Ovis aries: one gene and its partner. The protein of the gene in region 1 purifies or fractionates together with the protein of each later gene. This does not show direct contact. Links are inferred from orthologs where the notes say so. Each region holds a gene or a part of one and is shown in the gene's direction. Other genes may lie near its edges.

What was found.
Region 2: the proteins of DDX41 (region 1) and RNPS1 purify together in Homo sapiens (co-immunoprecipitation; 3 studies listed by BioGRID and IntAct, with this or other methods). This does not show direct contact. The link is inferred for Ovis aries from reciprocal best matches to the Homo sapiens genes DDX41 and RNPS1.

What each region holds. Positions count from the first base shown.
Region 1 is NC_056058.1:36,718,546-36,723,054, reverse strand, and holds the start of DDX41 (probable ATP-dependent RNA helicase DDX41), read left to right. Parts: upstream 1-1,460; 5' UTR 1,461-1,465; coding exon 1,466-1,492; intron 1,493-1,574; coding exon 1,575-1,685; intron 1,686-1,961; coding exon 1,962-2,121; intron 2,122-2,201; coding exon 2,202-2,276; intron 2,277-2,404; coding exon 2,405-2,465; intron 2,466-2,588; coding exon 2,589-2,725; intron 2,726-3,481; coding exon 3,482-3,554; intron 3,555-3,659; coding exon 3,660-3,813; intron 3,814-3,895; coding exon 3,896-4,032; intron 4,033-4,509. UniProt on the Homo sapiens protein: Multifunctional protein that participates in many aspects of cellular RNA metabolism. Plays pivotal roles in innate immune sensing and hematopoietic homeostasis.
Region 2 is NC_056077.1:2,304,481-2,308,712, reverse strand, and holds the start of RNPS1 (RNA-binding protein with serine-rich domain 1), read left to right. Parts: upstream 1-1,275; 5' UTR 1,276-1,333; coding exon of another isoform or gene 1,334-1,335; exon of another isoform or gene 1,336-1,728; intron 1,729-4,136; 5' UTR 4,137-4,232. UniProt on the Homo sapiens protein: Part of pre- and post-splicing multiprotein mRNP complexes. Auxiliary component of the splicing-dependent multiprotein exon junction complex (EJC) deposited at splice junction on mRNAs.

The sequences.
Region 1 (4,509 bases):
TAACACTTTCTTACAAATACCACCTAGTCCATCACATTCCAGCTGAGAAGCCACTTTTTTACAGTTTGCCCTTTGTGTGTGTAAGTTGCTCAGTGGTGTCCAACTCTGCGACTCCATGGACTAGCCTGACAGGTTCCTCTGTCCATGAAATTCTCCAGGCAAGAATACTGGAATGGGTTGCCAATTGCCTGCCTTTATGCTAATTCCAAAAGTGGTACTTTTTGTGTCTTAGGAGAGTTCTTAAGACCAGTTATCTATCTCTCCACCTAATCTCTTTGGGCTTCCCTGGTGGCTTATATGGTAAAGAATCTGCCTGTAATACAGGAGACCCGGGTTCAGTCCCTAGGTCCGGAAGTTCCCCAAAGAAAATGGCAACCCACTCCAGTATTCACGCCTGGAGAATTCCACGGACAGAAGAGCATGGAGGGGTACAGCCAGCAATATTGCAAATGAGGTGGATATGACTGAGCGGCTAACACTTTCACACCGCACAATGTCCAGTCCACACTCTTAACATACAAAGGAAGAGAAGAACAGCACTAACCTATCCTCTTTAAAAGTTGAAATTACCCTGACAGTCAGCCCTGCACACTCTGGGTCTACCTTTCCAGCCTTAACTCTTAACTACCCTACCCTACACAGGCCACATCTCTTTGTTCACTGAGAAACTTGGGCATGGCCAGAACTTGACTCCTGCTAGCCCCTGTATCAGGAAGCCTCTCCCTCTCCTGCCCTCCCAGCAGCTCTGAGATTCCTCACTTCCCTCTAACTTCAGATCCAGGTCTCCTCGAAGTCTTTGGTTCCCCAGTTACTCTATTACGGCATTTACAATAATAATCGTTTGCGTACATATACAGGCCCTCAGTTTAAAACCACAACCATCGTTTTGTTTATCTCGCCACTCTGAACATAGGTGTTTCACACAGATAACACCAGCAGTATTCTCAACAGTCAGCTTATTCTGCAAGCCCCATCCTGCCCTACCTGCCTTGGCCGGTGCGGGTTAATAGGGGCTGGATAGAGTCCGGGTCAGGATTCCAGCTAGCCTGGTCTCTGAGCTCCCCGGCCACGAGAGGGCGCAGTGTCCACTAGCGGGGGGGCGTGCCGAGTGACGTCACGCCCTGGGCGAGGCTGGGCAGCCGGCAAGCCTCCCTCTTCGGGAACGGCGGTTTCCACGCTTCTACCCGGCTCGGTTTGAGCTTTCAGCGCGTGCTCGAAATCCTGCAGAGTCACACAATGTCTTGCCTGAGGCTTTCGCCCTCAGCCCCGGCAACAGCTGCGTAGCCACCTACAGTGGGCGGGGACACAGCACCGCGCGACCGACGCTCAGGAGAAAATTTGTCCTTCTGCGCGATCCGGCACTCAGAGGTCGTTGCTAGGTGTCGACGTCCGCTTCCTTACATCTGATTGGATCTCATATAGGTGGGGCGGGGTTTTACTGTGGTGCGCATGCGTGCAGCAAAGGATGGCGGAATCGGAACCTGAGCGGAAGGTGGGAGAGAGGTTGGGGTCTGCGCGGGTGGAGAGCGAAGGTAAAGGCCGGGGGTCCGGGTCTGACTCGTTTGTGTCTGCAGCGGGCTCGTACCGACGAGGCGACTGCCACAGGAAGCCGCTCTGAGGCAGAGGATGAGGACGACGAGGACTACGTGCCATACGTGCCGTTGCGACAACGCCGGCAAATGCTGGTGAGGGCCGTGGGTCGCGAGAAGAGTGAGGGCAGGAGATAGGGTTTTAGCGATGCGATGGGGGGTGGCCCCGGGTCCGCGGAGTGAGGTGTCAGTACGCGGGAGCGTGGTCCCCAGGCAGACGAGGAACTGGCAATCTCATCCGAGGAGTGGGGCAGCTCTGCGCCTCCGAGCACAGGACCCTCTCCCAAAGGCCAGAATCCTGACGCAGGCCCCCGGGCCCGATGCCGCACTTTGCGTTGGGCTTGGCTCTGAGGGGCACTGGTGGAACCTCAGCTCCAGAAGCTGCTGCAGCGAAGACGCAAGGGAGCTGCGGAAGAGGAGCAGCAGGACAGCGGCAGCGAGCCCCGAGGAGATGAGGACGACATCCCGTTGGGTCCTCAGTCCAACGTCAGTCTCTTGGATCAGCACCAGCATCTCAAAGAGAAGGCTGAAGGTGGGCTGGGCAGCAGGCCGGAGGCTCAGTGTGGCGCACTGCTTTGGTGTCTCTCTGACACCTTCTGCTTCTTTTGTCAGCCCGCAAGGAGTCTGCCAAAGAGAAGCAGCTGAAGGAAGAGGAGAAGATCCTGGAGAGTGTGGCCGAAGGTCGAGGTATGGCTGTAGCCAGGGCAGAGAAGAGGTGAACTGAGCCTCCTCCCTCACCCCTAGGCATGTTCCATTTCAAGGGACCTGGCCTCTGGGAAGCAGGAGCCAGCCTTGAGCCACATCTGTTTCCTCAGCTTTGATGTCAGTGAAGGAGATGGCTAAGGGAATCACATACGACGATCCAATCAAAACTAGGTACGTCTTTCTTGACTGCAGTTGATTCCTCTTACTTGGGATGGTAGGTGGCCGAGACTGGAAGAGACACCCCAAAGCCAGGTGTGCCCAGGGGCTGTCTTGACCCTTGTCACCCACCCACAGTTGGACACCACCCCGTTATGTCCTGAGTATGTCTGAAGAGCGGCATGAACGTGTCCGGAAGAAGTACCACATCTTGGTGGAAGGCGATGGCATCCCACCTCCCATTAAGAGCTTCAAGGAAATGAAATTTCCTGCAGGTACCTGGGAGCCGGAAGCACCAGCACATTATATGCATACAGGCTGTGCTGGGTCTTTCGTTCCTGCGCACAGGCTTTCTCTAGTTGGAGCTAGCAGGAGCTACTCTGTTGCGGTGCACAGGCTTCTTGTGGAGCATAGGCTAGGCACTCAAGCTTCAGTAGTTGCAGCACGCGGGCTCAGAAGGTGCGGCGTGCAGGCTTCACTGCTTGTGGCACGCAGGCTCAGTAGTTGTGGCACGCAGGCTTTAGTTCCACAGCATGTGGAATCTTCCCACACCAGGGGTTAAACCCGCGTCCCCTGCATCAGCAGGCAGATTTTTATCCACTGTACCCCCAGGGAAGTCTGCAGTACCGCATTGTGATCATGAAACACACCACATTTTGATAGTGAAACATCTGTGGGGTTGCACCCTGGGCCCCCACCGAAATCCAGAAGCTGCTGCATCAGGTCCAGGCAGAGGAGAAGGAAGAGTTCGTCTTTATGCTTCTTTTTCAGTCATTGAGCTGTTCATACTTCGTAACCTTTGCCATTAGGGAGCTTTGGAGGGCAAGTAATGATGGCCTTAAACAGAACTGGGTGTGAATCCTGCCTCCACTTAGCCTAGAAGCCTTGGGCAAGTTTGTGTGTCTGTCTTTCTGTCTGTCTGAGTCTCATCATTTGTAACGTGAGGGGCATAGTGCCAGTTTTACAGGCGTTAGGGGGCTGTGTCTCGTATCCTGTGAAACACAAAAATGAAGCCAGGCTGTTTTCTGTAGCCATCCTGAGAGGCCTGAAGAAGAAGGGCATCCACCACCCAACACCCATTCAGATCCAGGGAATTCCCACCATGTGAGTGTGAAGCTGACAGTCCGGGGAGGAGCAGCCACTGGGTGAGAAGCAGAGTCTTTGTTTCCCACTGAGCCTGACCCTCCGGCCTCTCTTCTCTGTCACCAGTCTCTCTGGCCGCGACATGATAGGCATAGCCTTTACCGGTTCAGGCAAGACACTGGTGTTCACTTTGCCCGTCATCATGTTCTGCCTGGAACAAGAGAAAAGGTTACCTTTCTCTAAGCGTGAAGGGCCCTATGGACTCATTATCTGCCCTTCGGTAAGAGAGGCTGGCCTGGAGGGCAGGGTACACGAGGGAGGGAGCCACCTTCTGGTGCCAGCCGCTGCCCCTGTACCTGCAGCGGGAGCTGGCCCGACAAACCCACGGCATCCTGGAGTACTACTGCCGCTTGCTGCAGGAAGACAGCTCGCCACTCCTGCGCTGCGCCCTCTGCATCGGGGGCATGTCCGTCAAAGAGCAGATGGAGACCATCCGACAGTGAGTCCAAGTCACCCTGTCCCACGGGCTTCGTCAGAACCCCTTGACAAGCCAAGAGATCCTTTGCTTTAGCTACTCAGCAGAGCCTTGCAGAGGCTGCCCATAGGCTCAGCCCTCAAGGAGCCCCCAGTCTAATGAGGAGGTGGGTTGGGACAGAGGAAGGTGCTAAAGTACTCTGGGACCACAGCAGATGGAACAGGGGCATCTGGGAGGTCAAGGAGTCAGGGCATTCCAGGCGGAAGGCAGAGAGGTGGAGGGCCTGGGATGTCCAGGACAATCAGGGTTGTCCAGTGTGATCTATCAAGGAGGCTGAGGCTCTGGGGTGTGGCTGGGCCTGTGCCCTTTCCACACAGTGCAGTTCCTGACAGACATCACATCACTACATGTCCAGGGTTACAGACAGGCCAAACCCAGTCCCTGTTTCATAGGCATTGCTAGTTAGGGAAGATGCAAACATGGAAAAGATGAGTTCAGTGT
Region 2 (4,232 bases), on another chromosome or scaffold:
CTGCTGCTAAGTCGCTTCAGTCATGTGCGATTCTGTGCAGCCCCATAGACGGCAGCCCACCAGGCTCCCCCGTCCCTGGGATTCTCCAGGCAAGAACACTGGAGTGGGTTGCCATTTCCTTCTCCAATGCATGAAAGAGAAAAGTGAAAGTGAAGTCGCTCAGTCGTGTCTGACTCTTAGCGACCCCATGGACTGCGGCCCACCAGGCTCCTCCGTCCATGGGATTTTCCAGGCAAGAGTACTGGAGTGGGGTGCCATTGCCTTCTCCGCTCCCCCTACTAACAGTCACGAAACGTTGACTGCCTGCCAGGCGCTGCTCGGAGAGGGGAGGGACACAGCGGTAAACACATCCGCAAGCCCTGGCCCCCTCAGCGCCGGGTTTTACTCCGACAGCCTCCTGCCTGGTCCTGGGCCTCTAACTCTCAGCTTCCTGCCTTTGCCAGAAGGCTCTGACAGTGCAGGATGAAGCCTTGGCGCCGTATGTTGCACAGGTTCTCTGTTCCTCCAAACGCTAGACTCCACCTTCCTAGCCCCGGTTTCTTCCAAGGAGCCTTCGCACCATTTGTTCCTTCTGCCGGACATGCCCTTCTACTGCAGGCCTCAGCGGCAGGGTCAGCGCCTCGGAGGCGCGTTCCCTTCTGCACACTGTCTTCCACCCTGCCTTCTGCAGCCCGCTCGTTCTGGCTGCACTACCCGCTGCCTTGTCCTCCTGGTACAATTCCGCCGGCACAGAATCTGCGCCTGCAGCATCACCCCTCACGCCATGAGCGGTAACTGCACGAACCCATCCCCGCAACTGCCCTGCTCGCGAAGCCACCACCGCCCTACGGGTGCCCACGGCAAGCCGCCAGAGCGTGCAGCACCTGTGCACCCTTTCTCCAACCCCGCCGCCGGGCCGCCCGGGACCCTCCACGTAGCAGCCGGGTCGGGAGCCCAGCGACCTGGGACGCCACCAGGCCCGCAGCCCGCCCGGTGCGCATGCGCACGGAGAGGGGCGGGCCCGCGGCCGCCTTAACCCTCTCCGCGCCAGCCAGCAAACTGCTCTCACGAAGTAGCCCTCGCAGCCCCAGAGAGCTGCCAGCTTGATGGCCCCACGAGGCGTGCAGCCCGCCCGGGGGAGCCCCGGTCGACCCTCCAGAGTAAGCGCCCCGACGCGTCTCTTCCTAAACAGGCCTTGGCCCTTTAACACTCTCGCTCGCGCCCATTGGCCGAGGGGCTCGACGTCATCGCTGCGCGCCGGACGACCGCTCCTTCCCGCTCCCTAATCCTGACGCCAGAGCCGCGCCGCCCTCTGAGGCTGAGAAGAGCGGGAGGAGGTCGCGGCGGCGGGAAGATGTAAGTACCGGGAATCCGACCCCATCCGAGCTTTGGGACCCGCCCGCCATGTTCGGCGGGGCGCATCGTGGAGCCGGCCTGCTCCTTGGCCACGTGGTGGTGACGGTGGGGCCTGTGGCGTCGCTCCGGGTTTGAGAAGAAAGAATGTGGCCCGGGGCGGGCTGAGTGGGAGGCGCCGAAGCTGCGGCCCGGAAGTGGTCGGGGCCGCGGCGGGCGGAAGGGCGCCCTCGTTTCCTCGGCTCTGCAGCGGGACCAGTGAGGCCCGCGGGATTCGGAGCGGCCGGGAACTCGGCCTCCGCCGTCCGGGCCCTCTCACCGGGCTGGAAACCCAGGCCCGCAACGCCGGGCCCTGCCCTGGAAGCGCCCGCGGCCCGGCTCCTGGACTGGGGAGTTGTGAGTGAACGCGGACGCGGGGTGCTGAGGTCGCGTGCGGGGCCGGGGCCGGGGCCGGTGGGTACGAGATGCGTTTTGGGAGCCCCTGGGTGACCGACTGACCCTCCCTTTGAAGCCATTAATTTCAAACATCGACTCCACGAACGTCTGCGGGGTTCCTGTGTGTCGTTCCCGGTGCTAGCCCTTGGGGATACGGCCCCTAATGTCTTGGAGCCCAGTTTGACGGTAACCCCAAAAGAGAGGATACGGAAAGGTTAAATCGACGGAGCAGAGGCGTGGCCTTTTCCAATCTCTCATGAATTGTGCCTGAAATGTACTTGTAAATGGAGAAGGTGCTCCGAAGATGTGAGCTGAAACGCCATGTACGCGAGATATGACTAATTGTTCTCTCCTATTTTTGGCTGTTGGACGCGCACCTTTCCAGAGGATGGGGGAGGTAACCACGGTCCTGTTACCTGCACTTGTGTAAACATAATCAACCTTTGCTTTCTAGCCCTCTGGCCACACCCAGAAAAGCCTTCCTTTACTCTGGTCTTAATTGAGTTTTAAGAATAAACGCTGGTGCTTGTTTTCACAAACTACAAAGAGCAGATCTTTAGGACTGGGGTGGGGCCCTGGAATATGTATTCTAGGTCAGCTGTGTAATAAGGTAGCCTCTGGCCACACGTGGCTACTGAGTACTTGAAATGTACCTAGTTCAAATTGATGTGTTTAACACGCTTAGCATGGGGAAGCATGGATATTTTATTAATGATTTTGTATGCTGATTGGTGAAAAGATGATGTGTGGGGTGTAGTGTGTCAGATAAATACATTACTCAAAGTTAACTTCATCTGTTAACTAATGCTTTTTTGGAACGTTGCTCCAAGAAAATTTTAGAGTACTCTTGTAGCTGGCTCTCTTTCTATTGGACAGTGCTACTCTTGGTGATCGTAATGGGGGCAGTCCAGGGACCCCTGCTGATCATTCAGAGGCTGTGTGACTTAAGAGCCAAGAGTTTGCCTCAGAAAAGCCTCCAAAGCCTTTCTCCTAATATTAGCTAACATCTGTTGAGCCTTAACTAGGTCCCCAAGACTCTTTTATCGGTTACTTTTGTTTATATTCTTGACAGCTATGAAGTGTAGGAACTGTCTGTCTCTCCTTAATGCTGATGAGAAATTGAGGCTCGGAATGATTAAGGGATTGATACAAAGACACAACAAAGCTTTGAATCAGACCCCAAGCAGGGGAACTTCAGACTCGTAAGCACTGAATTATACTCACTATTTGTCCAAGCAAGCCCGCTACAATGTTGCTTAGTGTTACAGGCACCTTACTGAGTGTCTGTGGTGCCTTTTTTCTTTTTTAATTTTGGCTTATTTTTGTGTGTATGCCCTCTCATTTTAAGACATAATGTCTAAAAAGACTTTATAGCCCTGGAAAAGAACAGTGCACTCTTATTTGTTTGTCCACAGCTGGGCACTCTTTCTTGAGTCAGAAATTTATCCAGCATTTTGGCAGCACTGCGCACATGGAAACAGGATTCCGATTGGTGAGCTGTGTCCAGGTTACTTACAGGAAGGTGAGATAGGAGTAGTTGAGGCTAACATCCCGAGATCTTTGCTTCTACAACTCAAGCAAATTGCGCAAAACCTCACTGGAAATACTTAAAGGCAACAGCCCCAGGAAACAGAGCACATAATGAATTAATAGTTTGTTCTTGAGTAGTGTTTACTGATGACCTTTTACTGAGTACATGCTGCAGCTCTGGAACTTAGCTAAACCCTTACATGTGAATGCATCCATTTCCAAAAATGGGAGCATACAGAAAAGCTGAAAAAATTTAGTGCACCAAATAGTCACAGAACCACCACCTAGATTCTACAGGTTACATTTCTGTTATGTTTTGTCTCACTTTACTACTTTTTAAATGTTCATGGGGGACGTTTCATTTGTTTGGTTATTAAATGTTTTGATACTGGTACCAGTCACTTGAAATGGTTTTTGCTTCCAGTCATAATATCTATCCAATGTATCCTGCAAAGATTCCAGCAGTGAAGCGAGGTCGAATCCTGTCACTTAGGGTTTGCTCTGCCTGCCAATGTGCTCCTGTAGTGTCTCTAAAGGACTGTAGAGGGCTTACCGCAAAACTGGTGAGAAACGGGCATTGTACTACCTGTCAAAGAACAGGACCCCACCACCCACACCATTGCTTAAGAAAAAGACAAGCTGAGCCGACAGTTCTTCACGTGTCTCCTGTGGGGGCAGGATCCCCTGAGGAAATGGACCCTGCCCAAGTGTTCCTGGCTTGGTAGATGCACACTGCTGACTGTGTTCCTTGTTGCCTGCTCCTATGCTCAGCTTTTGACTGCAAAGTAGATTTGTTGCCTTGCCAATTTACTCTGTGAATCCTTTTATCTTGTTATTAGGCTGCACTTTGGCGTAAATTGCAATCGATTAGGGATCGTTTCTCAGACTCAAGTTAGACGTGAGAGTTCAGATAAGTGAGGCCGCCATTGCTGCTT